Anolis sagrei: one gene and its partners. The protein of the gene in region 2 interacts with the protein of the main gene of each other region in a pairwise test. Links are inferred from orthologs where the notes say so. Each region holds a gene or a part of one and is shown on either strand. Other genes may lie near its edges.

Region 1 (7,836 bases), on a different chromosome or scaffold from region 2:
GAAAGGTCATATAAAATGACAAGTCCAGTGATATCATCACATTGAAGAGGATAGTTTAAGTGGCATCAAAATTGCATTGTAGATGCCCTCTTAGGGCCCTTCTAGATCCTGGCCTTAATATGCCAGGTTCTGATCCCAGGTTTTCTGCTTTAAACTGGATTATATGAGTCCCCACTGCCAGATAATCTGGGATAAACAGAAAACCTGGAATCAGATTCTGGGATATGAAGCCTGTCTGGAAGGGCCCTTAGGCAGAAAAGGCTAAAAGCCAGATAAAGTTACAACTCCCATAGCATTAGGTCTAACCCAACTGTTCACCCCTTATAAGCTCCTCCCTCAGAAATACACTTTCCCACTATTATCTCATCCAGGGTTTTATCCTTTTTTTTATCCTGTGCATTTGGTTCGCCCACTGTGTTCTATCTCCTCATTATGCTATTTTGTAAATGTTTATTTTATTTTGTTACTTCATGTATCTTATTTTAATGTAATTTTTGTCTCTTTGTATTGTATTTTTGGGTTTGGCCTCATGTTAGCCACCCCAAGTCCCCTTTGGGGAGATGGTGGTGGGGTATAAATAAAGAAGAAGAAGAAGATGATGATTATTATTATTCTGACACAAAACCACAGTTTGTCACAGCAAACGAGATATATGTGCTGGATTTCATAACACAGCTCCAGCTAGAGGTCAGCTGTGACCAGCAGTGCTGCAGAATTTGAAGAGGCACGAATGGAGGGTGAAAGAGAGAAACGTGCCAAAAGGAAGGCGTGTCAAGCTAACCCCGACCAAGACCGCCTTCCACCTGGAAACCAATGCCCTCACAGTGGAAGAAGATGCAGATCAAGAATAGGGCTCCACAGTCACCTACAGACCCACTGCCAGGACACTGAACTTGGAGGACCATCATCCTTGGACTACGAGGGATCGCCTAAGTAAAGTTCATATCACAAAATCACAAGTCGAACACTTCCCAAGCATCTAGGACTGTGTGATGTATTTTTGAATGATGTGTGCAGATCCAAGTAAGGTGGCTTTTTGCAGTTGACAGACTGTGATCTAGTCAATGTTTATTGTTTCCAAATGCCGGCTAAGATCTTTTGGCACAGCACCCAGTGTGCCCATGACCACTGGTACCACCTGTACTGATTTATGCCAGAGCCTTTGCAGTTCGATTTTGAGGTCCTGATAACAGCTGAGTTTTTCCTGCTGTTTTTCCTCAATGTGACTGTCACGTGGTATGAACAATCACAGAAGCGGCAGAAATATACAATGCCAGAAAACCGTACAATAATAATAAAAAAAGGTAAAGGTTGTCCCCAGACATTAAGTGCAGTCATGTCTGACTCTGGGGTCTGGTGCTCATCTCCATTTCTAAGCCGAAGAGCCAGCGTTGTCCATAGACACCTCCAAGGTCATGTGGCCAGCATGACTGCATGGAGCGCTGTTACCTTCCCGCCGGAGTGGTACCTATTGATCGACTCACATTTGCATGTTTTCGAACTGCTAGGTTGGCAGAAGCTAGGGCTGACAGCAGAAGCTCACGCCACTCCCTGGAATTGATCCTGCGACCTTTTGGTCAAGAAGCTCAGCAGCTCAGTGCTTTAACCCACTGCGTCACCGGGGGCCCAAATACAATAATAATAATAATGATAATTATTATTATTATAGCATTGAGCCAGGGCTGTCCAACTTGTGTCAAACTGCATTAATTTGACACCCATAGAAATAGAAGAACCCGTGGGTTGGTTGGTTGGTTGGTTTGACATCCAACCTGCCAACAACAGATGCAAATAAGACCAGAGAGTCGATCAAGAGCTCAAAAAATCTACACCAAGCATGGACAAACTGGGCCCTCCAGGTGTTTTGGGCTCCAACTCCCACCATTCCTAACAGCCTACTGGCTGTTAGGAATGGTGGGAGTTGAAGTCCAAAACACCTGGAGGGCCCAAGTTTGCCCATTCCTGATCTACACTGTTGAAATAATACTGTCTGACTCCATGTCTTGAAGGCCATGGCTGAAGACCACGTCAAGCTACAATTCTCTTGACTCCACGCTTTTGAGCCAGGGCAATTCGAGCGGTTCCAACAAGTGGACGCATGGCTTAATGTACAGAGTGGATACATCCAAAGCGTGCTCTCTCTCTCTATCTCCCACTTGTTGAGCGTTTATCCCGATGGAGACCCCTCCTCCCCTCCCCTCCCCATCTACACCAAGTTTGCCCATTCCTGATCTACACTGTTGAAATAATCCTGTCTGAATCCATGTCTTGAAGGCCATGGCTGAAGACCATGTCAAGCTACAATTCTCTGGACTCCACGCCACTGAGCCAGGGCAATTCGAGCGGTGCCAACAAGTGGGCACATGGCTTAATGTACAGAGTGGGTGCATCCAAAGCGTGCTCTCTCTCTTTATCTCCCACTTGTTGAGTGTTTATCCCGATGGAGACCCCTCCTCCCCTCCCCTCCCCATCTACACCAAGCATGGGCAAACGTGGGCCCTCCAGGTGTTTTGGACTCCAACTCCCACCATTCCTAACAGCCTACCGGCTGTTAGGAATGGTGGGAGTTGAAGTCCAAAACACCTGGAGGGCCCAAGTTTGCCCATTCCTGATCTACACTGTTGAAATAATACTGTCTGAATCCATGTCTTGAAGGCCATGGCTGAAGACCACGTCAAGCTACAATTCTCTTCAGCCTTTGAGCCAGGGCAATTCGAGCGGTGCCAACAAGTGGGTGCATGACTTAATGTACAGAGTGGGTGCAGCCAAAGCGTGCTCTCTCTCTCTCTCCCACTTGTTGAGCGTTTATCCCGAGGGAGACCCCCCTCCCCTCCCCTCCTCTCCCCTCCTTGGTGGACTTACGATCTCCAGGCAGATGAAGGCCCCCGAGTAGGTGCGCAGGATCTCCAGCCCCGAAGGGAGGGTGATGCGAGGTGGCGGGTAGTGGGCGGTAGCGGTGGGAGGCGGCGGCATGGAGCCCCCTCCGCCGCGGGCAGGGAGCATGGCGGCAGGGAAGGAAGGAGGGAGGGAGGGGAGCAAGGCCCGGACGTGGCCTCCGACGAGGGAGGCAAGCAGGGAAGGTGAGAAGGGAGAGAAAGAGGGAGGAGAAGCGCAGGTGGAGGAGGGCGCCTTTTGTCGGGCGCCGCCCTCTCCTCCGCCACCGCCTCCTTTTCTCCTCCTCCTCCTCCCGACGCTACTTTTGCTCCCACCTTCTAATTTTTTCTCACCTGCTCTCCCTCCCTCCTTGGCCTTCTCCACACCTGGATCTCAGGAAGGCTCCCCACAAGGGTTATTGATTTCTGTGCTTACTCTATTTGTATACCGCCCTTCTCAGCCCTCAGGCAACTCAGGGCGACTGACAGAGCAACGGTTCCATGCCCAAGAACATCATAAAACATTTAACACATTGGGTTGTTGTAGGTTTCTCCGGGCTATATGGCCATGTTCTGGAGGCAATTTTTCTCCTGACGTTTCGCCTGCATCTATGGCAAGCATCCTCAGAGGTAGTGAGGTCTGTTGGAAGTAGGAAAAATGGGTTTATATATCTGTGGAATGACCTGGGTGAGACAAAGGACTCTTGTCTGCTGGGGCTAGGTGTGAATGTTTCAGCTGATCACCTTGATTAGCATTCAATGGCTTGGAAGTGCCTGGGGGGACTCTTTTGTTGAGAGTGATTTTATGTGCCTGTTTGTTTCCTCTCTGTTGTTTTGCTGTTGTAATTTTAGAGTTTTTTCTAATACTGGTAGCCAGATTTTGTTCATTTTCATGGTTTCTTCCTTTCTGTTGAAATTGTCCACATGCTTGTGGATTTCAATGGCTTCTCTGTGTAGCCTGACACAATAATCTATATAAATAATAAAAGTAATGTTCGTTTGTGGGATTAACATAACTCAAAAACCACTAGACGAATTGACACGAAATTTGGGCACTATACCCCTAACAGACCAATGAGTGACCATCATTCATACCCCCCCCCCCAAAAAAAGTGGAAAGGACTTAAAAACCCCAAAAAGCTAAGTGACGAAAAGCTAAATGATGATACAGGGTCATTTAGGGAAGGAAGAGGGAGGAAAGGAGAGAAAGAAAGAAAGGAGAGAAAGAGGGAGGTAAAGAAAGATGGAAAGAGAGGAAGCATGGAAGTAAAGAGTGAAGGAAGGAAGGAAAGAGGTAGAGAAGGAAGAAAGGAGAAAAAGAGGGATAAAAGAAAAAGGGGGAAGGAAAGAAAGAGGTAGAGAAGGAAGAGAAAGTAAGAAAAAAGGAAAGGAAGGAAAGAAGTAGAGAAGGAAGAAAGGAGAGAAAGAGGGAGGGAAGGATAGAAGGAAAGACAGAAGTCTGGATAGAAGCAAAAAGCGAAGGAAGGAAGGAAAGAGGTAGAGAAGGAAGAAAGGAGAAAAAGAGGGATAAAAGAAAAAGGGGGAAGGAAAGAAAGAGGTAGAGAAGGAAGAAAGGAGAGAGAGGGAGGGAAGGAAAGAAGGAAAGGCAGAAGTATGTATAGAAGCAAAAAGCGAAGGAAGGAAGGAAAAAGGTAGAGAAGGAAGAAAGCAGAAAAAGAGGGATGAAAAGAAAAAAGGGGGAAGGAAAGAGGTAGAGAAGGAAGGAAGGAAGGAAGGAGAGAAGGAAAGAAAAAAGGGAGGAAGGACAGAAAGAGGGAGCGAAGGAAGGAGGGAAAGAAGAAGAGAAATAGGGAGGGAAGGTTGGCCACAGCAGCGCGTGGTGGGTAAAGCTAGTACATAGTATAAAACCAAACAAAAGTAATAAAAACATAAAACATTTGCACCTCCTAGTTTAAAACATTATCCATCTCGTTGTCCAGTGGTTCAAAGTTCCTATATCTTTTACACTGCATTTTCCGGAATGTTAAGAGGGAGGGCCCCCCGATCTAATGTCTGTAAGATGGGCGTTCCATAGCCGAGGGGCCACCATTGGGAAGGCCCTGTCTCTCATCCCCGCCAAACATATTTGTGACTCAGGTGGGATCGAGAGCAGGGCCTCCTCCAGACGATCTTAAAGTCCTAGCAGATTCATAAGAGAAGATGCATTCAGACAGGTAAGTTGAACCAGAACCGCTGAGGGCTTTATAGGCTAAAGCCAGCACTTTGAATTATGCCCGGTAGCAGACTTGCAGCCAGTGGAGCTGGCGCAACAGAGGAGTTGTATGCGCAATCTGGCTGCCGTCCATTGGACCAATTGAAACTTCCGGACAGTCTTCAAAGGCAATCCCGTGTAGAGCGCATTGCAGTAGTCTATATGGGATGTAACCAGAGCATGGACTACCGTGGCCAAGTCAGGCTTCCCAAGGTATGGGCGCAGCTGGTGCACAAGCTTTAACTGTGCAAAAGCTCCCCTGGTCACCGCTGAAACCTGAGGTTCCAGGCTCAGCGATGAATCCAGAATCACACCCATGCTGTGAACCTGTGTCTTCAGGGGGAGTGTAACCCCATCCAACACAGGCTGTAACCCTATGCCCTGTTTGGCCTTGCAACTGACCAGGAGGACCTCTGTCTTGTCTGGATTCAATTTCAATTTGTTCACCCTCATCCAGACCATCACAGCGGCCAAGCAGCGGTTCAGGACCTGAATAGCCTTCTTAGTAGCAGGTGGAAAGGAGTGACAGAGTTGGACGTCATCTGCGTACAGGTGACACTGCACCCCTTACGATGCTTGCAAAGAAGCTGCTCTAATGTGAGACAGACAATGCTGCAGTTGGAGGAGTAATTTATTGGTAATTATAATAAATTAATTATTATAAATTCATAGAATCATAGAGTTGGAAGAGACCTTGTGGGCCATCCTGTCCAACCCCCTGCCAAGAAGCAGGGAAATCGCTATCAAGCCTTTGTTTAAAAGTCCCCAAAGAAGGAGCCTCCACCACACTCCAGGGCAGAGACTTCCACTACTGAACAGCTCTCACAGTTGTTGTTGTTCATTCGTTCAGTCGTCTCCGACTCTTCGTGACCTCATGGACCAGCCCACGCCAGAGCTCCCTGTCGGCCGTTACCACCCCCAGCTCCCTCAAGGTCAGTCCAGTCACTTCAAGGATGCCATCCATCCATCTTGCCCTTGGTCGGCCCCTCTTCCTTTTGCCTTCCACTTTCCCCAGCATAATTGTCTTCTCTAGGCTTTGCTGTCTCCTCATGATGTGGCCAAAGTACTTCAACTTTGTCTCTAGTATCTTTCCCTCCAGATCTTCTTGCAGTCCAAGGCACTCTCAGCACTTTCCTCCAACACCACAGCTCAAAAGCATCGATCTTCCTTCGCTCAGCCTTCCCTAAGGTCCAGCTCTCACATCCGTAGGTGACTACAGGGAATACCATGGCTTTGACTAGGCGGATCTTTGTTGCCAGTCTGATGTCTCTACTCTTCACTATTTTATCGAGACTGGACATTGCTCTCCTCCCCAGAAGGAACCGTCTTCTGATTTCCTGGCCACAGTCTGCATCTGTAGTAATCTTTGCACCTAGAAATACAAAGTCTGTCACGGCCTCCACGGTTTCTCCCTCTATTTTCCAGTTGTCAATCATTCTTGTTGCCATAATCTTGGTTTTTTTGACGTTTAGCTGCAACCCAGCTTTTGCACTTTCTTCTTTCGCCTTGATTAGAAGGCTCCTCAGCTCCTCCTCGCTTTTGGCCATCAGAGTGGTGTCATCTGCATATCTGAGGTTGTTAATGTTTCTTCCAGCAATTTTCACCCCAGCTTTGCATTCATCAAGCCCTGCACATCGCATGATGTGTTCTGCATACAAGTTAAAAAGGTTGGGTGAGAGGATGCAGCCTTGCCGTACGCCTTTCCCAATCTTGAACCAGTCTGTTGTTCCGTGGTCAGTTCTGACTGTTGCTACTTGGTCCTTGTACAGATTCCTCAGGAGAGAGACAAGGTGGCTTGGGATGCCCATCCCACCAAGAACTTGCCACAATTTATTATGATCCACACAGTCAAAGGCTTTAAAATAGTCAATGAAGCAGAAGTAGATGTTTTTCTGAAACTCCCTGCCTTTCTCCATTATCCAGCGGATATTGGCAATCTGGTCTCTCGTTCCTCTGCCTTTTCTAAACCCAGCTTGAACATCTGGCAACTCTCGCTCCATGTATTGCTGGAGTCTTCCTTGCAGGATCTTGAGCATTACCTTACTGGCATGAGAAATAAGGGCCAAGACTGCTCCAACTTCCATACAGTGGCTCTCACAGTTAGGATCTATTAATAATAATCCTAAATAATATTAATATTAATTCTGATAGTGCCTTGGACCACGAGAAGATCCAACCGGTCCATACTTCAGGAAATAAAGCCCAAGTGCTCATTGGAGTGAAGGATATCAGAGGCAAAGATGAAGTAAGACAGGGAAGCTTAGAGAAGACAGTGATGCTGGGGAAAATGGAAGGAAAAAGGAAGAGAGGCCAACCAAGGTCAAGATGGATAGATGGCATCCTTGAAGTGACTGGCTTGATTCTGAAGGAGCTGGGGGTGGTGACGGCCAACAGGGAGCTCTGGTGTGGGCTGGTCCAAGAGGTCACAAAGAGTAGGAAATGACTGAATGAATAAACAACAACAATAAATATTAATACTATAATAATATTTATTTAATTATAATAAATGAATTAATATTTATTTATTTATTTATTTATTTATTTATTTATTTATTAATAATTGGAGCCCCTGGTGGTGCATTGGGTTAAACCACTGAGCTGCTGAACTTGATGGCCAAAAGGTCACTGGTTTAAATCCGGATGGCGGGGTGAGCTCCTGCTCTTAGCCTCAACTTCTGCCAACCTAGCAGTTTGAAAACATGTAAATCTGAGTAGATCAATAGGTACTACTGGGCAACGTCCTTGCAGACG
Region 2 (7,763 bases):
ATGTTTTTTTTGTTTATCCCATATTATCTGGCAGTGCGGACTCATATAATCCAGTCTAAAGCAGACAACATGGAATCAGACCATGGGATATAATATAGGGCCTGTCTGGAAGGGAGGGAGGTCGAATGACAGAATTGGAAGAGACCACAAGGGTCATCTAGTCCAACCCCTTGCCAGGTGACAATTTTGGACCATATCGAAATGGCAATGGAAAATGGGATCGGCTAGGTAAACATCCCATCTTATGCATGATTATGGGGACTTCTCCTTGCTGAAGGAAGGATGCATTTTTGGAGAGGGACATCTCATGTCCACAGATATGGATGAGATGTCCCTCTCAATGTTTGTGTCAACACAAACACATGCAAGGATGGAGTGGATGGGGAGATGTATTGTGAAGCAGATTCCTTTCCTGAAGGAGAGCAACTTTGCTTGCATCTCATAAAGGTGGGCAACTTTTGGCTCTGAGAAAAAGGAGCAGTGCATCGATGGGCCATTTTGGACCTTGCAAAACAGTAAGGGAGGAATGGATGAAACCAACAGCATCGACCTGAATATCCATCCTTCTGAGCATCACAGACTACCCATCCTTCTGAGCATGCATTCTGGAGAGGACACCTTATCCACACATACCTACACTCACACTAATCATAAGATGGGAATCTTGACCTCAAAGGAACCCGCACAGGTGGGTCCATATTTTGTGGGTCCATATACACACATACACACACTCATGCACACAGACAGAGACAGAAGGGGACCGAAGCGCATCAGGCACATTTAAAACACAAGGGTATTACTTTTGGGTTTTTGGGGAGGGAAGGGGGGGTTTGTCTGCTGGAGAAGTGGGGGGGACCAACTTTGCTTGCGCCTCGTCCAGGCTCTGGTCGGTGATGGTCATGATCTGGTGGAGGATGTCGCCGATGTCCTGCTTGCGCCCGTCGCCACCGTCGGGGACCTCGTGCCCGTGAGGGGGGGGCAAGGGCATCCCTCCCCCGGGAACCGGGTGCCCCGCCAGGTTCACCCCCGCCAAGGTCTGCAGCATCCTCGTCTGCTCGTCCATGGCCCAGGAAGAGAGCAGGAAGGAGGAGGAAGGAAGGGGAAGAAGAAGATGGGGAGGAGGAGGAGGAGGAGGAGGAGGAGGAAGAAGAAGAAGCTGAAGAGGTGAATGAAAAGGAAAAAGAAGAGGAAAGAGAAGAAAGAGGAGGAAGAAGATCAGGAAGAAGGGAAGGAGGAGGAAGAAGGAGATGAAGAGGAGGAAGGAGGAGGAGGATGAGAAGCAAGAGAAGGAGGAAGAGGAGTGAGAGTATTGAAGATCAAGAGGAGGAAGAAGAGGAAGAAAAAAAGAGGAAGGAGAGGAGGAGGAGGAAGAATCAAAAGAAGAGGAAGAGGTAAGAAGGGAAAGAAGAAGGAAAAGAGGAAGGAGAGGAGGAGGAGGAAGAATCAAAAGAAGAGGAAGAGGTAAGAAGGGAAAGAAGAAGGAAAGGAGGAAGGAGAGGAGGAAGGAGAGAAGGAAGAATAAAAAGAAGAGGGAGAAAAAGGAAGGGAAAGAAGAAAGAAGAGGAAGAAAAGGGGAAGGAGGAAGTGGAGGAGGAAGAAGATGAAGAGGAGGAAGAGGAGGAAGTATAAAAAGGGGTTGAAGAAGAAAGGGAAAGAAGAGAGGAGAAAAGGAAAAGAGAAAGCAGATGAAGAGGAGGAGGAAAGAGAGAAGGAAGAAGAGGAGGAAGAATAAAAAGATGAGGAAGAAGGGGAAGAAGGGAAGGAAGAGGAAGAAGAAGATGAAGTGGAGGAAGGAAAGAAGGAAGAAGAGGAGGAGGAATAAAAAGAAGAGGAGGAAAAGAAAAAGGAGATGGAAAAGAGGAGGAAGAAAAAGAGGAGGAAGAGGAAGAAGAGGAAAGAAGAAGAGAAAGGAAAAATGAAGAGGAGGAAGATTAAAAAGAAGAGGAGAAGGAAGGGAAGGAGGAGGCGGAAAGGAGGAAGAAGTGGAGAAGACTAAAGAGAAGAGGAAGGAGAAAAGGGTGGAAAAGAGAAGGAGGAAAGATGGGAAGAAGATGAAGAGGGAAGAGGAGGAAGAAGAGGTGAAGGAAGAATAAAAAGAAGAGGAAAGAGGAGAAGGAGAGGAGGCAGATGCAAGTCCGAGCTCAGTCCTGGCTGCTCCTTTCCAGGCAAATCGAAGCAGGCAAAAGCAGGGCTTCCTCTCCTGGGTTTCTCTTCCTTCCTTCTTTCTTTCCTGGGAGCTCTTCTCTCAACGCTGGGCTCCTTTGCTCATCCTTGGGCGGCTTTCCTTGAGTCAGTCCCAGCAATCTGGAGGAAGAGAAAGAGGAGGAGGAGGAGGAAGATGCTGAGTCCCAGCAGCTCCCAGCAGAGCTCTTTCCAACGATTGGCTTTGTGTTCTTCTTCTTCCTCTTCTCCCTCAAGCTTCTTTCTTCATCCTTCGCCCTCTTGCAATTCTCCTTCAGCACCACAAAAATGTAGATATTTCGGGAAGGCAAAGGCTCCAAAGTTGACAACAGTTAGTTGCCGGTGGTTCTTTCTCGCTCTCTCTTCCTCTTGGATTTGTTTTTTTCCTTCATCGAGGGAAGAAATGGTGTTATTTTCCCAGAAAATAGATTTGCAAAAAAATAATAAAATAGTCAAACCGCTTTGCAATCCAATTATTTGGAGAGAAAAAAAATCACATCGTTGCTCCGAACGGCAAGAAGGGGGAAAAATGCAAAAAAAGCCACATCACAAAATTTCCCAGCGTCTGGTTTGCTTGCAAAAAAGAAAAAAGAGGAGGAGGAGAGGGAAAATCGCCAGCAAAGTTTGCAAGTTGTGCAAAAAAAAATTGGAAAAAATAAAATTCTTTTTTTTTAAGGAAGGGGGCAAAAAAAGAAGCAAAGTCTCTCTTTTGCAAAGACGGGAAAAATTGCAATTAATGGCACACCGGCTTTGCAAAAGGGGGAGGAGGGCCAAAGAGGGGGGAGAAACCCCATCCAGCTGCAATTTATGAGCCCAGCAGCAGCAGCCCCAGTGACTGTGGTGTGTGTTTTATGTTGTTTGATGGCCGCTTTGGTGAGGGATTGACAGGCTGCCAATGCCACTCACTCACCCTGCAGACGTGTCAAAGGAGGCGAGCCCAGAGAGAGAGAGAAAAGCAAGCGAGCTGGTCGAAGCCACGCCCCTTTCCCCGGGCTTCTCGGCCTCCAAGCCACGCCCCTTTCCCCGGGCTTCTCGGCCCTCCCAAGCCACGCCCCCTCGCTCTGAGAGGCCGCCCCAAGCCACGCCCCCAAGCTCCAAGCCACGCCCCTTTGGAATGCTCCGGGCTTTCAAGCACCGCCTTCGCCTCGGCTCAAAGCCACGCCCCCTCTCTCATGCACTCCTTCCCATCCAGCTGGATCTACACTGCTAGAGAATCCAGTTTGGGCATAAACTGCATTGCATTGAACTGCATTCTATAGCCAGGTTTTTTTTCCCCCTCCAAATAATAAGTTTTATCAATTTACTCATTTAATAACAATGTAATATTATTACTATGCTTAACAATATTACATTAAATATATTAATATATTATTACTATGCTAACAATATAATTAGATTAATATAATATATTACTAGGGTAATAATATATTAATATAATATATTAATATATTACTATGCTAACAATATAATTGGATTAATATAATATATTAATATAGTAATAATATAATTACATTAATATAATAAATTATTACTATGGTAACAATATAATTACATTAATATAATATATTAATATAGTAACAATACAATTACATTAATATAATATATTAATATAGTAATAATATAATTACATTAATATAATATATTCATATAGTAACAATATAATTACATTAATATAATATATTCATATAGTAACGATATAACTACATTAATATAATATATTCATATAGTAACAATATAATTACATTAATATAATATATTTATATAGTAACAATATAATTACATTAATATAATATATTCATATAGTAATAATATAATTACATTAATATAATATATTCATATAGTAACGATATAATTACATTAATATAATATATTCATATAGTAACAATATAATTACATTAATATAATATATTTATATAGTAACAATATAATTACATTAATATAATATATTACTATGGTAATAATATTTATTATTTATTTATTTATTTATTTATTATTTGCATTTGTTAACCGCCACTCTCAGCCCGAAGGCGACTCGTGGCGGTGTACAGAACATAGAACATAAAGACAACAGTTACAGTAAATCAAGATCATGACGCACATCAACTAACACACAACTAATTAAACTAAAAATCCGCTTCGTCTTGTTAGGGTCATAATCAATCTCGTGGTCATAGTCCATTCCGGTGGTCATTCCAAAACATAGCACTTAATTGAAGGCCTTTTCGAAGAGCCAGGTCTTCAAGCCCTTACGGAAGGCCATGAGGGAAGGCGCCTGTCTAATTTCAGCGGGGAGGGAGTTCCACAGCCGGGGGGCCACCACCGAGAAGGCCCGCTCTCTCGTCCCCGCCAAGCGTGCCTGTGAGGCAGGCGGGACCGAGAGAAGGGCCTCCCCGGATGATCTCAAGGTCCTCGTGGGCTCGTAGGCCAAGATGCGGTACTCAAGGTATTTTGGGCCGGAACCGTTTATATAATATATTCATATAGTAATAATATAATTACATTAATATAATATATTCATATAGTATTACTATGGTAATAATATAATTACATTAATATAATATATTAATATAATATTACTATGGTAATAATATAATTACATTAATATAATATATTAATATAATATTACTATGGTAATAATATATTATATATATTATATATTCACTGCTTTGAGTCGCCTGAGGGCTGAGAAAAGCGGTATATAAATAAAGTAAATAAATAAATATATTATTCTTATACTAACAATATAATTACATTAAAATAATATATTAATATATGCTAACACTGTAATTACATTAAGATAATATATTAATATTGCTATGCTAGTAATATAATTACATAAATATAATATATAATAATATAATTACAGTACACAATATATATAATTACATAATAATATAATTACATTATATAATATATAGTAATATAATTGCATTACATAATGTATAATAATATAATAACATTACATTATTATATGCCCCCGGTGGTGCAGTGGGTTAAAACGCTGAGCTGCTGAACTCGTTGACCAAAAGGTCGCAGGTTCAAATCCGGGGAGCGGCATGAGCTTCCGCTGTCAGCCCCAGCTTCTGCCAACCTAGCAGTTCGAAAACATGCAAATGTGAGAAGATCAATAGGTACTGCTTCGGCGGGAAGTTAATGGCGCTCCACGCAGTCATGCCAGCCACATGACCTAGGAGGTGTCTACGGACAACGCCGGCTCTTCAGCTTAGAAATGGAGATGAGCACCACACCCCAGAGTCGGGTGCGATTTGACTTAATGTCAAGCGAATACCTTTACCTTACTATTGGCATAGCACAATATTAGAATTATATACTACAGAAGCGGTACCTATTGATCTACTCACACTTCTATGTTTTCGAACTGCTAGGCTGGATTTGACCCACCAACTTATTGGTCAGCAACTTCAGCAGATCAGCGGTTTAACCTGCTGTGCCACCGAGGGCTACTTAATCTACTGGTACCATATAATAATAATAATGTTTTATATACTGTCCTATCTCTTAAACTATACAAATATACAATAATAAAACAGTATTATCATTATATATATTAGTACTACTATATTGCAATATTATTCTTTTGTCTTATCATATTGTATTATGACTAGTGTTATATTGTATTATCAATATTATGTCTACACGATATATTGTTATTATAGACAATATTAGTGTTATACATTACATTGTGTATATATATAATATATTTACATTGTAATGTAATAATACTAAAATAATATAACACAATATTAATATGCATGTTATAATATAATATATTACAATATAATAAAGATGTTATAATATAGTATATTTACTACAACTTATGATATAGCGCAATATATTATATAATTAAAAAGGTAAAGGTTCCCCTGACCTTACATCTAGTCCTGTCCGACTCTGGCGGGTGGTGCTCATCTCCATTCTTAAGCTGAAGAGCCGGCATTGTCCGTAGACACCTCCAAGGTCATGGGGCCAGCGTGACTGCATGGTGCGCTGTTAGCTTCCCAGAAAAGCGGTACCTATTCATCTACTCACATTTGTATGTTTTCGAACTGTAAGTTTGGCAGAAGCTGGGACTAACAGTGGGAGGTCACCCTCCGCTCTCTGGGTCCAAATTGCTGACCTTTCAGCAGCTCAGCGCTTTAACCCACTGTGCCACCGGGGGCTCTTTATTGACAGCGTATAATTATAGTTATTATTATTTAAATACCGTTCTATTTCCCAAAAAGGACTCAGGACGGTTCCTACCAACCAATAATACTATACTACAACATAATATTATAATTATATTTTATGAATAGTATTATCATTATATATTGTTATATATTATCAGTAGTATTCTATTTAACATAATAGTATTATTATATTATAATATTATAATTAATATTCTATGTATACACAATATATTATATTATTAGCATAGCGCAATGCTAGTATACATGAAATATTACATGTAATATTATGAATAATATTGCAGTATACTGGTATAGTAGAATATAATATATAATATTAATACTGTGCTATTATAGCAATATGTTGTGTATACATATAATACAGTTATTTATTATCAGTAGTAGTATATTCAAGATATTAGTATTATATTATTATATTATTAGATATTATATACATTATTATTATATTTTAATAATTACAATATTATAATTAATCTTCTATGTATACACAATGTATTATATTATTAGCATAGCACAATTTTAGTATATATGCAATATTTTGAATAATATTGCAGTATAGTAGTATAGTACAATATAATAATATATAACATTAAAACCATATAATATTTTATAATAATATTGTAATATACTAATAGTATTATATTAATTTCCTACTGATAATTGCTTAGTACAATATAATATATAATACTAATACTGTGCTGTGATAATAATATATTGTGTCTACATATAATATATGTGTATTATATGTATTATATGTATTCATATATATTTTCAATACTGTGCTATGATAATAAAACATTGTATATACATATAATATTTATAATAATATTATAATATAATACATAATATCATATTTTGTCTACATATAATTTTATAACATTATAATATAATACATTATAATACTAACAATAATACCATATAACAATATTTTATAATAATATTGTAATATACTACTACTAATAATATATTAAATTCCTACTGATAATAGTATACCACAATACAATAATATACAATACTAATACTGTGCTGTGATAATAATATATTGTGTCTGTATATAATATTGATAATAATACTGTGCTATGATAATAACATATTGTATATACATATAATATTTATAATAATATTATAATATAATGCGTAATACTAATAATAATACCATATAACAATATTTTATAACAATATTGTAATATACTAATAATAATAATACATTAAATTCCTCCTGATAATATATTGTTTACATATAATATTGATAATAATACTGTGCTATGATAATAATATATTGTATATACATATAAAATATTTATAATATTATAATACATAATAATAATACCATATAATATTTTATTATAATATTGTAGTATACTAATAATAATA
Region 3 (8,348 bases), on a different chromosome or scaffold from region 2:
CCCTTCCAGTATATTCCGTTGGTCATGGGAGTTCTGTGTGCCAAGTTTGGTCCAATTCCATCGTTGGTAGGGTTCAGAATGCTCTTTGAATGTAGGTGAACTATAAATCCCAGCAACTACAACTCCCAAATGACAAAATCAATCCTCCCATTCCAACTCCACCAGTATTCAAATTTGGGCATATTGGGTATTTGTGCCAAATTTGGTCCAGTAAATGAGAATACACCCTGCATATCAGATATTTACATAACAATTCATAACAGTGGCAAAATTACAATTATGAAGTAGCAATGAAAATAATGTAATGGTTGGGGGTCACCACAACATGAGGAACTATATTAAGGGGTCGCGGCATTAGGAACGTTGAGAACCCCTGCTTTGGGGAGATAGGGTGGGTTATAAAGTTTATTATTATTATTATTATTATTATTACTGTTTTATAAAAAATAGTTTTAAAGTTTTAAAAATGTATTTTAGTGTATAGAGGGGAGGACCAGGGCACTTTGAATGGTGGCTAATCCACTTGTATTTTATGTTATGAGACATCTTAAACAAAGCAGCGATGTCAGCCATTTTTACTGTAATGCAGTGGTTCTCAACCAAGTGTTTTGGCCTACAACTCCCAGAAATCCCAGTCAGTTTACCAGCTGTTAGGAATTCTGGGAGTTGAAGCCCAAAACATCTGGGGACCCACAGGTTGATAACCACTAATGTAATGTATCTTAACTTGCTTTTAGAGTGTATATTGAAATATTTACTTATGTTTTTGTTTTTATGTCTTAGTGGATTGTCCTTGTTTTTATTTTATTTCAATGCTTTTATTTTAATTTTTTATTATATTTGAGATTTAATTCCTTTGTTGTAAGTTTACCCTCCATCACCCTGTATTATTTTGATGTGTTTGTACCCATTTTGAGGCATTGAATGTTTGCCTTTTTATATGTAAACCGCCTGAGTCCCTCTGAGGAGAGATGGTGGTCTAGAAATAAAGTTCATTATTATTATTACATATTATTTCTTCAACTTTTTGCCAGGGTTGATCTGAGTCTATTGTATGATGTTTTTCAATAATTTTATGTATGAAACAAAATCAATGTATGTTAAAGCATCAGAAAGCAAGTGTTTTATATAAGCAATATATAGATTGATACAAACATATATACACATATGGATTTATGAACCCATATTTTCTTAGCCAGCTATTTGGACAATCCTATCTTAGCCGGCCATTTGGACAATTGCGCTTTCTGATTTCCAGATAAGGGGTGCTGGCCCTGTTACAGTGGAGTCTCGCTTATCCAACCTTGCTCATCCAATGTTCTGTATTACCCAACGCAGTTTGCCTCCCACCCAGATCCACAGCTGTTTCAATACATTGCAATGTTTTGGTGCTAAATTTGTAAATACAGTAATTACTACACAACGTTACAATGTATTGAACTGCTTTTTCTGTCGATTTGTTTAAAACAGGGGTCCTCAAACCTTTTTTGTGACCAGAATTCCAGAAATGAATTTATTTCAGTAGAAGTCTGCACAAAGACCTGCCATAAGCATTATGTGGCTACAGAGGGCCAAGTCACAGTCTCTCAAACTGTTGGAGGGCCGGATTATAATTTGAAAAAAAGACATGAATGAATTCCTATGCACACTGCACGTATCTTATTTGCAGTGCAAAAAAAACCCACTTAAAAACAATACAATAATTAAAATGAAGAACAATTTTAGCAAATATAAACTTATTAGTATTTCAATGGGAAGTGTGGTTGATGAGATAGGATTGTTGTTGTTGTGTGCTTTCAAGACATTTCAGATTTAGGTTGACACTGAGTGAGGGCTGGATAAATGACCTTGGAGGGCCGCATCTGGCCCTCGGGCCTTAGTTTGAGGACCCCTGGTTTAAAACATGTTTTGGTACTTAATTTGTAAAATTATAATGTAATTTTACATTTATAAACTTTTCCTTCATCCCTTATTATCCGACATTCTGCCAGCCCGTTTATATTGGATAAGCGAGACTCTATTGTATTTAGAAGCCTTTTGTTCCTGTCAGGGGGTGGCAGTGCGACATCACAGGATGCCTCAAATATAAATATATACAACATTTATTACCACTCACAAAAATAATCACAAAGGAGGAATAATAATGCTTGGTGGATTATCTCCAGAATCTTTCAACATTCAATCCGTTTTGGGAGGAGTTGACATGAGACACAAATATTCCTCATATATAATATATATATCTGAAAGGAGATAAGTAAGGAAAGGGGACAGAAAGGAGGTGAAACACCTCATGTTTTATTGTTCACAGCCATATTATGTAAACCTTCGCACGTCTCATAATGTCAGGCCCCTTTCACCCAGTTGAATAAAATCCCACATTTTCTGCTTTATATATATGGGACATATGGCAGTGTGTGGACTCAGATGTCCCCGTTCAAAGCAAACATTGTTGGATTTTCTGCCTTGGTATTCTGGTTTATATGGCTGTATGGAAGGGCCCTCGGTTTACAGGTGAAAAGGGAATCTGAAACAACGGAAAGGCGACAAGGAGGAGGAAGGGCCTTTCCCTCAGGGTTGGCTTTCCTTCCCCGCGGGCTGAGGGCCAAAGGAGCCCAAGCCGCACTCGAGGAAGGGGGGGAGGGAGGGGCACTTGGGAGGAGGAGAAGCACAAGCAGCTGCTGCCTCTCTCCCCGCTGCTCCAGGTCTATCGGAATGTCCCTGAAAGCGGCCCCTTTAAATCTCGCCCTCCTCTGCCTCTGCTCTTCCCCCCCCCCACCCCCCGCGTCGCCTCGCGCCACAAACAGCTGTTGCCCTTTTCTCTCCCCTCCTCCTCCCCCTCCTCCACCCCCTGAGGCGCGCGACACCTTCGTTCCCGGGCGCGCGCGCGCTCCCGCCGACTCCCCCTCCCCCTCCTACAAGAGCAACGGCTGTTCCAGAATTTTCCTCACTCCCCCTCCCTCGCGCCTGCCTGCCTGCCTGCCGACGCCCCTCGGCCAACCCCCCCTCCCTCCCGCCCCGCCACTCGAGGATGCCCCCGCCCTGCTGTTCCGTATGTCGGCCTCGCCTCCCCCGCCCCACACCCCCGGGTCCGTTTGCGCGGCTCAGCCAAGGCGGCCGGCACTGGCGGCGGCGGCGTCGGGCGCGCCGTGATGGATGGATGGCTGGCTGCTTGGCTGGCTGGCTAGGAGCAGGTTTGAGTGACAGCGCTTACCTTGGGTGCCAATCTTCGTCACACTGACAAGCGGCTGCAGCAATCGGGACCCGCACCGCCGCGACGCGCGTCACCGCGCACACACGCCCTCGTCCAATCGGGAGCCACGCCGGGCTGACACGACAGCACGCTCCGCGAGACGCCTCATCAATATTCAGCGAAGGAGTGGGCGACGTCGCGCTTGGAGGTACGCCCACCTCGGCGCCGGCCTAGGCTGGAAGGGGCGGGGCCTTCCCCTCCACGGGCCCGCCCCATCGGGGCCTCGGCGCGCGACCGCCTCGGGTTTATGAATACTCATGAGGTGGGCGGGTTGGCCACGCCCCCTCTCCCAGGCCTTTAATAGGTTCCTTCGGCTTGAGGGAAGCTGCGCGTGACGTCATGAGGCCTTATCGTAAGGCTAAGTGGCCAGCAGGTGGGTCGCAGCGCCCATCACTGTCGCGACACGATGGGCTACCCAGTACTCCCATTCTCTTTAAAGGAATGTGCAGGCAACAAAGGGAAAGAGGAGCAAGGGACTGTTAACGGCTTAGGATTCCTCTGCTCCTCTCACGCCCTCTCTCTATATATGAATACATGGGCAAATTTCGGCATCTGAGGCAGGCCTGGCCAAACTCTAGCCCTCCATCTGTTTTGGACTTCAACTCCCACAATTCCTAACAGCCCCAGGCCCTTTCCTTTTCCCTCTCAGCTGCTTAAGCGGCCTGAGGCTGTTAGGAATTGTGGGAGTTGAAGTCCAAAACAGATGGAGGGCTAGAGTTTCCCACACCCGCTGTATATGATGCCGTGGAATTATAAATTAAAAAATAAATGAATTTTGAAACCCTTTGTAACTTTTAGCGCACCTGGTATTGAAACCCCTTTGTGACTTTTGACCCACTGGGTATATACACATACACACATTTATATAAACAATATATACATTGATAAATACACACACACATATATACATATACACACATACGGATTTATGAACCCATATTTTATATGCATGTTTACATCTGAATGAATACATATATATTTATTTACATACAGATAAGGGTAATGGAGAGGGTCTTATAGCAACCCTTTCCTGGTTGCCCAAATTTAACTGTTGAAATACATTGAGATCTGTAACAATGTGATTCCTTTCAGAAGGAAAAAAGTGAAAATCATTATACCTGTGGTTTTAAAACAGTGTTGGTTGGGGGCAGGAAATGATACGAAACATGCAGATGTGAGTAGCTCAATAGGTACCGCTTCTGCGAGAAGGTAATGATGTTCCCTGCAGTCATGCTGGCCACATGACCATGTCTATGGACAACACCAGCTCTTCGACTTAGAAATTGAGATGAGCACCACCCACCGGAGTCGAACACAACTAGACTTAATGTCAGGAAAACATTTACCTTTACTTTTTAATGTAGGCTTATTTGAAATTCAGGCCACAGAGCTTAGTGCAGTGTTTCCCAACCTTGTTTTTTTTTTTTTTTTTTTACCAGGGACCACCCTTCAACATTAGTTCCAAAAGGGTTAAGAATCAGTTTTGGTCAATTTTAGATCCAGTTCTAGATTCATCGCTGAGCCTGGAGCCCCAGGTTTCGGCGGTGGTCAGGGGAGCTTTTGCACAATTAAAACTTGTGCGCCAGCTGCGCCCGTACCTTGGGAAGTCTGACTTGGCCACGGTGGTCCACACTTTGGTTACATCCCGTTTAGACTGCTGCAACGCTCTCTACGTGGGGTTGCCTCTGAAGACTGGCCGGAAGCTGCAGCTAGTCCAACGCTCGGCAGCCAGACTACTAACGGATGCTGGGTACAGGGAGCACACCACTCCGCTGTTACACCAGCTCCACTGGCTGCCAATTAGCTTCCGAGCACAATTCAAAGTGCTGGTGTTAACCTATAAAGCCCTAAACGACTCCGGCCCTGTTTACCTCTCTGAATGTATGAACCATCAAGATTATTAAGATCGTCTGGAGAGGCCCTGCTCTCAGTCCCACCGGCCTCGAGTGGGATCAGAACCGCCCCTTCTAGCCTGACATTTAGGAAACAGGTGAAGACTTGGTTATGGAGACAGGCATTTGACGAGTGAGCCAACACCCTGAGATATGGATGGAGGATGATGAGCAGCGATTTTAGTGTAACGACTGACCATTATAGTTATTGATTGTAATTGCTGTTTTAATGTTTTACTGTAATATGTATTGCGATGTTTTATTGATTGTATGTGATATTATGGTTGGAAACTGGTCTGAGTCCCTCAAGAGAGGTGAGAAGACCGGTATACAAAACTTTTAAATAAATAATATTTGGGGTGTTGATTCAGAAAATTGCATTGGATAGACCACATCAGCTCTAGTTTCTGATACAGAACATATGCCATCCAGGAGTCGCCATCTGCTCACCCATATTTAATAATCTAGAGCTGATGTGATCTATGCAATGCAATTTTCTGAATCAGCACCCCAAATAACCCCAGGAACAGGGCTAAAAATGACACCAAGGTGCCTCTGTTTCCAGGCGCCACATGGAACAGCTCCGTTCAGGTAGAGGGAGGAAGAGGAAAAGCAGCAGTCAGGAGGTTTGTCACACCTTTCGTTGGTAGTCAGCCTCTCCCTTCCTGACATACCCATTGCTTCAGCACTATAAGAGGATTTTGTAAGTCCAGTCGTTCTCATTGCTACATGTCATATTTTCGTTCTTGGAGACCATTGATGGTCCATGGACCACAGGTTGGGAACCACTGGTTTCATGAGAGGCCTGTGCGAAGAATTCCAGCTGACAGTTTGCTAAGTAGTGAGCCCTCCCTGTGTGTCTTTATGGATAAGAGAGAGTGTGTGTATATAATAACCTTGATTTTGCCATTATATGTCTACAGATTTTGCATCAATGGATTCAATCAATCACAGCATGAAAAAAAAATGAGAGTTGCTTTTTGGAATTTTATATGGTATATGCACAATTCCAATAAGCAACTCTGGATTTTGCCATCTATGTGTTTCATTATCCATGGTATGTGTTTGTGTGTCTGTCTCTAAAAATCAAACCCGAGCTTGTTTTCTTTTCAGGGTTGCTTGGGAGCCAACTTACCACATATCTACCTGGAAGTACACAATCCCAAAACACTGTACTCATTCAAAATTAGAGTGTGTTACCCATCATAAAACCTTGGAGCTGTTTTTGTATCCTCGGAGTCCACTTTGACAAATTTATGGATGAAACAATAGTAGTAGATACTTTTCATATTAACTTTCTGGGGCGTCAGTGCTTTTACTAGAGGGTACCCATAACTTCAAATTAGAAATTCCCAATATGAATAACTAAGAAGTTTAATGTGGTTAAAATAGTATGTAGAGGTCATTTTAATGACTCTGTGCTCATTTCTATGCAAGTGGATAAACATGTTTTTGCAAAGAGTTAGAGACTTGTTAAAATAAACACTAAAAATCAATAGAGATGTGGAACATTCATTTTTTTAGTTGTTAAATTCTTTGTATTTATAGAATCATGTACTGTATCTGGCTATGAAATACAAAAAGGTGAGAATAAAAGATAATTTAGTCATCTTATGTTTTGTATTCTGACTTTTGGATTTAACTGCTGTTTTATTTTCCAATACATTAATACACCAATAACTTATATCTGTGAATATTTCCCTAATCTGTTGTCTATGAAGACCTATTCATAACGAACTAGTTCATGACCTAAATATTGCAACAACATTACTGTGATTCACAAAAATGTGTAATCTATGAATTGGAAAAAGTGACCTGAATTCAGCAACACCCAATGCTAAATAACACTCATTTTAAAACTACTGTTTTACAATGTTGCACCATTTTGTTCTTGGTACAGTTTGTTTCTAATCATTAAGTTTAACAATATAGCATTTGTTGGCATTGTCATCATATTGTAGGTATTTCACAATGGCTGGAATTCTCAGAATAATAGGATATTCAGCTTTGAGTCTCCTTGTGGAGAGAAAAAATGGGATATAAATAAACAGAAGGAGAACTTAATATTATTGGTTTCATCATATCCATATACTAATAAGATATGAGTAACACATTTTTATTACAAAAATACAGTAAGAAGCTGAACACTGATTTAAAATGAACCAAGCACCAGACATAACAAGTCTGGTTACTTGGCTCACACTTAAGTGAATGTGAAAGGCCTTGTTCCATTTTAGAAAAATCATTGTATTTTTTACAAAATTTGTGAGTGGTGCCATAATTTGTTTTTGTAACTTTCAGTGAAGTCCTATATGTGTCTACTTCAAACTATGTTCTACTAGGTCCATTGGACTTATTCCCAGAAAAGGATGTATACTAAAAGTGCATAAGAGCAAAGAAGAAACCAGCTTCCAATGTTTCTGTATCCATATGCTGGCAGTTTCCATAGTTTGATGATTCTTGGGACTCAATGGGGGAAATTCAATATGGCAGCCAGCAAACAGGCAGAGCAAATTTGGCAGCTGAGTTCATTCTGATGATCTCTTTCTGAGTTTTTTGATGGTATCCTTTCAGAATAAATAATTATTCTGCATTGATTCTCCTGGGTTTCTCACCCAGCCTGAAAAAAGCAAGGAGCATATTTACAACAAAGATTGAAAAAATGAGGGCATAGAGGAAAGACATGGCCAATTTTAAAATAGCTCCCTATTGGCTTAACTCCCAGTCATCCAATGCCAGTCGAAATGAAAAAGGGCTGGCATTGCCTTTGGAAAATGCTTAGGCTTTGGCGGATCTCCAGAGGGGAGGGGATCAGAGCCAGTTGCTGTGATTAACTCTCCCAGAGCCCTTGACCTTCATAGGTTTTTGCTGTTGCAATAAGATTGTGTTGGTAAATCCTAATGATCAAAAGGAGGATAGGAGGAACTAATGGCAGCACACTTTCCATTTGTGTAGTAGTTGCAACATTTCCCATGATTAAAATAAGTACTAAGTATGGTTTTAAACTTCTTGTAAGCCTTCCTGAACCCAGAGATTGGGATGGGATGTAAGTAAAGAAGCAGCTTTAAATCACACATTCCCTCTTGCTTCCAGCCTCCTTTAACTAAACTATGTTTAGGTTTAATCAACAACTATAAGCCCCAATATTTGTAAAGTTTTATAGCACTGCTTGGCAGATGGTCCCACCAGCTGCAGTTCACTAATGC
Region 4 (8,325 bases), on a different chromosome or scaffold from region 2:
AAAGTACCCCTGACAGATGGCCATCCAGCCTCTGTTTAAAATGTAATGTAAATATCTGATATTCAGAATGTATTTTCATTCACCGGACCAAATATGGCACAAATACCTGATACGTCCAAATTTGAATAATGGTGGGGTCGGGGGCTGGATTGATTTTTATCATTTGGGAGGTGTAGTTGCTGGGATTTATAGTTCACCTGCAATCAAAGAGCATTCTGAACCCCACAAATGATAGAATTGGGCCAAACTTCCCACACAGAATCCCGATGCCCACCAGAAAATATTGTGTTTTCTGATGGTCTTTGGCGACCCCTCTGACACCCCCTCATGACCCCCTCAGGGATCCCGACCCCCAGGTTGAGAAACACTGACGTAGTGCATCTTTGGGAGCTGAAATTAATATAATACGCTGTCTTATTTTTGGGGAAACAGGGTATCTATCTATCTATCTATCTATCTATCTATCTATCTTTTTATCTATCTATCAACAGGTGCAGGAAGTGCCCCATAAATGATTTCTGGGCCTAAAAGCATCCTTTCCCCCAAATGATGGTATGTGGAAGGATGGATGCATCATGTCATAATATTCCTTGACCCTTACTTGGTGCCCAGCACTGTCCCGGCCGTCTCCATCTCCGTGGCCGGATTGAAGAGATGCTCCGGACTGGTTTTGCTCGCCATTCTGATCCCGTCTGTAGGACAAAAAGAGAGTAAAGTTAGTATTTATTTTATATACTAGCCATCCCCTGCCACATGTTGCTGTGGCCCAGTCTGTATATATGTGTTTGTATATCCGTGTATATGTGGTTCTGCGGATGCATTGTAATGTATTGTTTTTTGCTTTTTAAGTCCCTTCTGTTGTGTTTTTCAGTGTTTTTCTGAGTGATGGTCGCTCGTTGGCCTGATAAGTGTATTGTGTCCAAATTTGGTGTCCATTCATCCAGTGGTTTTTGAGTTATGTTAATGTGTGTGCATATTTACCTATATATGTGTGTATATATCAATATATGTGTATGTGCAATATATATTTAAAACATTTATATTCTGCCCTTTACACCTCAACTTAGGGGACTCAGGGCAGAGCACAACATATATACGGCAAACATTCAATGCCAGGACATAAAACCATAAATATATACAAAAATTAAAATCACTTATATTCACATTAAAGGTTGCTTAAAAGCCATCTTACATGTGAATATATCTACCTATATATATGTTTATCTACACATATGTGTAAGTATGTCTCCAGTATGCTGATGACAACGTCGTATGTGCGCATTCAGAAGAAGATCTACAAGCCACTCTAACTAAACACCTTTGCAGAAGCATACGAGAAGCTCGGCCTGTCACTGAACATCGAGAAAACCAAAGTGCTGTTCCAGCAGTCACCAGCCACCCCCTCCCCAATGCCAGAGATACAGTTTCATTAGAAAATGTGGACCATTTCCGCTCCCTTGGCAGCCACCTCTCCACCAAAGTCAACATCGACACAGAAATACAACACCGCCTGAACTCTGCAAGTGCAGCATTTTTCTAAGTGCAGCATTTTTCTGAGACATCCGTAGGGATACCAAGGTGCTTGTTGATAAAGCTATTGTCCTCCAAACCCTGCTTTACGCCTGCAAAACATGGACTGTCTACAGATGTCACATGCAACTCCTGGAACGATTCCATCACCGCTGCCTTCGGAAAATCCTGCAAATCTCCTGGGAAGACAGGCAGGGAAATGTCAACATGCTGGAAGAAGAAGCAAAGACCACCAGCATTGAAGCGATAGTCCTCCGCCATCAACTCCACTGGACCAGCCACGTTGTCTGGATGCCCAACCACCATCTCCCAAAGCAGTTACTCTACTCCGAATTCAAGAACGGAAAACGGAATGTTGGAGGACAGGAAAAGAGATTGAAAGATGGGCTCAAAGCCAACCTACAAACCTCTGGCATAGACACTGAGAACTGGGAAGCCCTGGCCCTTGAGCGCTCCAGCTGGAGATCGGCTGTGACCAGCAGTGCTGCAGAATTTGAAGAGGCACAAATGGAGAGTGAAAGAGAGAAACGTGCCAGGAGGAAGGCGTGTCAAGCCAACCCCGACCGAGACCGCCTTCCACCTGGAAACCAATGCCCTCACTGAGGGAGAAGATGCGGGTCAAGAATAGGGCTCCACAGCCACATACGGACCCACAAGAACACTGGAAGACAATCCTCCTCGGAAAACGAGGGATCACCTAACCGCAACAGTAGTAAGTATGTCTATATTCAATATATATGTGTATGTGCATACATGTGTATGTGTATAGATCTGGGGCATTCAATGTACATGTGTGTATGTATATCAATATGTGTGTGTATATATCTACCTATATATATGTACGTTTATCTGTATATGTGTGTGTAACTATATATTCAATATATATGTGTGTGTGTGCATATGTGTGTGAGGGTGTGTAGGTCTGGGGTATTCAATGTACATGTATGTATATCAATGTGTGTGTGTGTATATATCTACCTATATATATGTATGTTTATCCGTATATGTGTGTGTAAGTATATATTCAATATATATGTGTGTGTGCATATGTGTGTGAGGGTGTGTAGGTCTGGGGTATTCAATGTACATGTATGTATATCAATGTGTGTGTGTATATATATCTACCTATATATATGTATGTTTATCCATATATGTGTGTGTAACTATATATTCAATATATATGTGTGTGTGCATATGTGTGTGTGTGTAGGTCTGGGGCATTCAATGTACATGTGTATATGTATATGTGTGTGCGTATATATATATATGGTTGGGGTCATTCAATGGACATACAGACAGGAACAAGGACAAGAGGGAGATAGTGAGAGAGAGAGAGATGCCTGGGGCATGCAATGTACCTGTGTGTATGTATATCTCTATAGCTAGATCTCTATGGCATGTACAATGTACAGACAGAGCTATAGGGGCAAGGCTTTTGGGGCCTACCTTGCAGGGGAGGTTTTCCTGGAGAGAGACCCCCTCCTCCCAAAAAGCCCCTGCCTGCCTTCGCCCAGAAGATGGGGCCCCAAGGCGGGTCCCCACAACAGGAAACCAAGGGCTTCGGGCCTAGTCGTGGCCCTCCAGGATGCTCTGGTTGCCCCTAGCAACCGCCTCCCCCCTCCTCGCGAGGGAGCGCTCACCTGCTTTCTCCTCGGTCCGTCCGGCGGCGCCAAGCCTGCGTGGCAACCCGGAGGGGGCGGGGCTAAAGTGACACCGCCTCCCCTGGCCGCGGAGCCTGCCGGGAAGTGTAGTCTCGCGCCTCCCTCGCCAAGGAAGACGCAGGCCTGGCTCCAGAGCGGCGCGGACTACCACTCCCAGCAGGCCTGGCTTTCTCCTCAGCCACAGAAGCCTCTCTGGCCTAGAGTTGTGTTGTTTCCCTTTAGGCAATGGAATATTTGCTCCTTTAGGAACTAATTTCCTTATTTATCTTTTCCCTATTTATTTTCCTTTTTCTTCTTCTCTCTTTCTCTTGGAATATTTTATTCCTTCTTCCTGTTATTATTATTATTATTATGGGCATATTTCATTTTCCTATATCATCATTATTATTATTTTCATATTCTTACAATATTAGTAGTCTTATATTAATATATTTCATTTTCCTACATTATTATTATTATTATTACTGGGATATTTCATTTTCCTATATCATTATTATTATTATTATTATTTTCATATTCTTACAATATTAGTGGTATTATATTAGTATATTTCATTTTCCTACATTGTTATTATTATTATTGGTATATTTCATTTTCCAACATTATTACTGTTATATTGACATTATTATTATTATTGGTATATTTCATTTTCCTACATTATTACTGTTATATTGACATTATTATTAGCATTGATATATTTCATTTCCCTACATTACTATTATTATTATTAATTATATACTTCATTTTCTTACATTATTGTTATTATTATTGATATATTTCATTTTCCTACATTATTATTATTAATATTATTATTGATACAGTTAATTTCCCTACATTACTACTACTAATATTATTATTGGCATATTTCATTTTCCTATCTCATTATTATTATTATTATTTTCATATTCTTACAGTATTAGTAGTCTTATATTAATATATTTCATTTTCCTACATTATTATTATTATTACTGGGATATTTCATTTTCCTATATCATTATTATTATTATTATTATTATTATTATTTTCATATTCTTACAATATTAGTGGTATTATATTAGTATATTTCATTTTCCTACATTGTTATTATTATTATTGGTATATTTCATTTTCCAACATTATTACTGTTATATTGGCATTATTATTAGCATTGATATATTTCATTTCCCTACATTACTATTATTATTATTAATTATATATTTCATTTTACTACATTATTATTATTATTGATATATTTCATTTTCCTACATTATTATTATTATTATTATTATTGATACAGTTCATTTCCCTACATTACTACTACTAATATTATTATTGGCATATTTCATTTTCCTACATTATTATTATTATTGGTATATTTCATTTCCTACTTTATTACCGTTATATTGACATTATTATTATATTGATATATTTCATTTTCCTACATTATTATTATTATTATTATTGGTATTTGTATATTTCATTTCCATTATTATTATTATTATTATTATTAGAAACACCACAACATGAGTCCACAGCAGACGCTCCGCTGGCTGTTGTCTTGGATCACACATCGGACCCTTCCCAAGTTTCTAGGACTGTGTGATGTATCGCCGAATAATGTGTGCAGATCCCAGTAAGGTGGCCTTCTGCAGCTGGCAGGTGGTAATCTTGTCAACGCCGATTGTGTTTTAGTGCAGGCCAAGGTCTCGAGGCGCTGCGCCCAGTGTGCCGATCACCACTGGGACCACCTTGACTGGCTTATTATTATTATTATTATTACTATTATTATTTCTAGAACTCAAAGTGGCTTGATATAAAGATCTTAGTATACATTAAAATATACAAAAACACAAACATTAAAATAGAATTAAACACATACAGCACTAAAAAAATCCAGTTAAATAAATAAATAAATAAATAAATAAATAGAAGTCCCAGGATTCCATAGGATGTGAAATCGTAGCACTATATGTGTTAAAGGGACCCCCAAGTTAACTCATTTTATATGTGGATTTCTTACAGGAACCATGGGAGTCATCGTTTGGCCCCACCAGCTCCACATTCATCTCAAATCTTCCCCCAATGAAACAAAAAAGAGGCACAGGTCGGGGAAATTATCTATACCAAGGTATACATTTTATTTATTAAGACTCCTGTTTGTGTGGTGGGAATGTGGTCCTGTGTTCGGATTCCGGCTTCGCGTCCTCAGTTCTTGTTGTTGAGTTCCCTGGAGAGCTGGCAGAGTCCGCAGAGCGGGCAGCAGGACATCACCACCCAGTCCGAACAGATGGAGCCCTGCGGGGAAACATTATTGTTATTATTATCATCATTAATTATGAATTATATCCTTGTTTCCTCTCTTAAAAAAGACTCAAAGCAGAATGTTGTGGTTGTTGTTGTTGTTGTTGTCACAGATGTGGACAGCCCTCTGTCAGGATGAATCGAGTGGTGTATTCCTAGCAGTTGGACTGGGTGGCCCTTGAGGGTCTCTTTCAACTCTAGGATTCAATTATGTATCTAGCATCTTATCCCTCTTCTATATGAGATCTACGGCAATCTGGCTTTGGCTGAATGGCCCTCTGTAAAAAGGGATCGGATGAGGGTCTCTTTCAACTCTAGGATTCAATTATATATCTAGCATCTTATCTAACTATATGATATCTATGGCCATTTGGCTTTGGCTGAATGGCCCTCTGTAAAGAGGGATTGGATGGGGTCTTCCTGCCAGACAGAATGGGGTTGGACCAGATCCCCCTTTGGGGTCCCTTCCAAATCTGGGATTCTATGGAGGTCTTCAACACAGGATGGATGGGCATCTGTTGGGAGGGATCAAATGATGCACCTTATTATTAGATGCATCTTGGGGTCCCTTCCAACTCTAGGATTCTGTGGTTCTATTATTATCATTATCATCATTATTATTATTATTATCATTATTATTAGATGCACTGTGGGGGTCCCTTATTGCTCAAGCATTCTATGGTTCTATTATTATTATTATTATTATTATTATCATCATCATTATTATTAGATGCACCGTGGGATCCCTTAAAACTCTAGCATTCTATGGTTCTAGTGTTATTATTATTATTATTATTATTATTATTATTATTATTATCATTATTACTAGATGCACTGTGGGGATCCCTTATTACTCAAGCATTCTATGGTTCTATTATTATTATTATTATTATTATTATTATCATCATCATCATCATCATCATCATCATTATTAGATGCACCGTGGGGTCCCTTAAAACTCTAGCATTCTATGGTTCTATTATTATTATTATTATTATTATTATTATTATTATTATTATTAGATGCACTGTGGGGTCCCTTATTACTCTAGCATTCTATCGTTCTATTATCATCATCATCATCATCATCATCATTATTATTAGATGCACCGTGGGGGTTCCTTATTACTCAAGCATTCTGTGGTTCTATTATTATTATCATCATTATTATTGGTACCTCATCACACTAGAGCATCCAGTTGCTCCCTCCTGCAGCATTCTGGGGTTTGTAGTTTAGGGAGGCCCAGGACCTCTCTGGCGCTGTAGTTTAAAGGCCCCTCCCTAAACTACAAACCCCAGAATTCTACAGGAGGGAGCAACCAGAAAGTGGATAGACACTCTAGTGTGATGAGGTCCTAGATGCACCTTGGGGCCCCTTTCAACTCTAGCGTTCTATGGAAGCCTTGAAACACAGGCTGGATGGACATCTGCTGGGAGGGATCAGATGATATACCTTATTATTATTTGCACCTTGGGGTCCCTTCCAACTCCAGCATTCTGTGGTTCTGTTGTTGTTGTTGTTGTTGTTGTTGTTGTTATTATTATTATTATTATTATTATTATTATTATTATTTGCACCTTGGGGCCCCTTCCAACTCTAGCATTCTGTGGTTCTGTTGTTGTTGTTGTTGTTGTTATTATTATTATTATTATTATTTGCACCTTGGGGTCCCTTCCAACTCTAGCATTCTGTGGTTCTGTTGTTGTTGTTGTTGTTATTATTATTATTATTATTATTATTATTTGCACCTTGGGGTCCCTTCCAACTCTAGCATTCTGTGGTTCTGTTGTTGTTGTTGTTGTTATTATTATTATTATTATTATTATTTGCACCTTGGGGTCCCTTCCAACTCTAGCATTCTGTGGTTCTGTTGTTGTTGTTGTTATTATTATTATTATTATTATTATTTGCACCTTGGGGTCCCTTCCAACTCTAGCATTCTGTGGTTCTGTTGTTGTTGTTGTTATTATTATTATTATTATTATTATTATTATTTGCACCTTGGGGTCCCTTCCAACTCTAGCATTCTGTGGTTCTGTTATTGTTGTTGTTGTTGTTGTTGTTGTTGTTGTTATATGCACCTTGGGTCCCCTTCCAACTCTAGCATTCTATGGAAGCCTTGAAACATGGGCTAGATGGACATCTGTTGGGAGGGATCAGATGATGCCCCTTATTATTAGATGCATGTTGGAGTCCTGTACAACTCTAGCATTCTATGGTTGTATCATCATCATCATCATCATCATCATTAGATGCACCTTGGGGCCCCTTCCAACTCTAGCATGCTATGGAAGCCTTCAAACATAGGTTGGATGGACATCTGTTGGGAGGGGTCAGATGATGCCCCTTATTATTAGATGCACCTGGGGATCCTTTAAAACTCTAGCATTCTGTGGTTCTATTATATTATTATTATTATTATTATTATCATCATCATCATCATCATCATTATTAGATGCACCTTGGGTCCCCTTCCAACTCTAGCATTCTATGGAAGCCTTGAAACATGGGCTAGATGGACATCTGTTGGGAGGGATCAGATGATGCCCCTTATTATTAGATGCACCTTGGGGCCCCTTCCAACTCTAGCATTGTATGGAAGCCTTGAAATATGGGCTGGATGGCCACCTGCCTATCAAAAAAGGGGTTGGACTGGATGGCCTTTGGGGGTGCCTTCCAACTCTAGGCTTCTATGTAAGTCTTTAAGCAAAAGCTGCATGTCCATCTGTGGGGAGGGATGGGGTGGTGCCTTCCTTCCTGTCAGAAGGGGGTTGGGCTGGATGACCTCCCTGGGCTCCCTTGCCTCACCTCGATGTGGTACCTCTCCCGGACGCCGGTGCGGAGGGCGACGAGG

The links.
Region 1: the proteins of PBX3 (region 2) and MAL2 interact in a two-hybrid assay, tested with the Homo sapiens proteins (2 studies listed by BioGRID). The two-hybrid records come from large-scale screens. The link is inferred for Anolis sagrei from reciprocal best matches to the Homo sapiens genes PBX3 and MAL2.
Region 3: the proteins of PBX3 (region 2) and PKNOX1 interact in a two-hybrid assay, tested with the Homo sapiens proteins (2 studies listed by BioGRID and IntAct). The link is inferred for Anolis sagrei from reciprocal best matches to the Homo sapiens genes PBX3 and PKNOX1.
Region 4: the proteins of PBX3 (region 2) and prenylated Rab acceptor protein 1 interact in a two-hybrid assay, tested with the Homo sapiens proteins (2 studies listed by BioGRID). The two-hybrid records come from large-scale screens. The link is inferred for Anolis sagrei from reciprocal best matches to the Homo sapiens genes PBX3 and RABAC1.

What each region holds. Positions count from the first base shown.
Region 1 is NC_090024.1:22,145,846-22,153,681, forward strand, and holds the start of MAL2 (protein MAL2), read right to left. Parts: upstream 3,122-7,836; 5' UTR 3,004-3,121; coding exon 2,863-3,003; intron 1-2,862. UniProt on the Homo sapiens protein: Member of the machinery of polarized transport. Required for the indirect transcytotic route at the step of the egress of the transcytosing cargo from perinuclear endosomes in order for it to travel to the apical surface via a raft-dependent pathway.
Region 2 is NC_090031.1:6,688,413-6,696,175, reverse strand, and holds the start of PBX3 (pre-B-cell leukemia transcription factor 3), read right to left. Parts: upstream 3,179-7,763; 5' UTR 1,064-3,178; coding exon 801-1,063; intron 1-800. UniProt on the Homo sapiens protein: Transcriptional activator that binds the sequence 5'-ATCAATCAA-3'.
Region 3 is NC_090023.1:75,238,263-75,246,610, reverse strand, and holds the start of PKNOX1 (homeobox protein PKNOX1), read right to left. Parts: upstream 3,393-8,348; 5' UTR 3,212-3,392; intron 1-3,211. UniProt on the Homo sapiens protein: Activates transcription in the presence of PBX1A and HOXA1.
Region 4 is NC_090035.1:83,783,881-83,792,205, reverse strand, and holds the start of prenylated Rab acceptor protein 1, read right to left. Parts: upstream 3,276-8,325; 5' UTR 3,171-3,275; intron 3,034-3,170; exon of another isoform or gene 2,977-3,033; intron 693-2,976; 5' UTR 682-692; coding exon 602-681; intron 1-601. Other genes in the region: cornifelin homolog, read right to left, coding at 5,376-5,465, 8,280-8,325. UniProt on the Homo sapiens protein: General Rab protein regulator required for vesicle formation from the Golgi complex. May control vesicle docking and fusion by mediating the action of Rab GTPases to the SNARE complexes.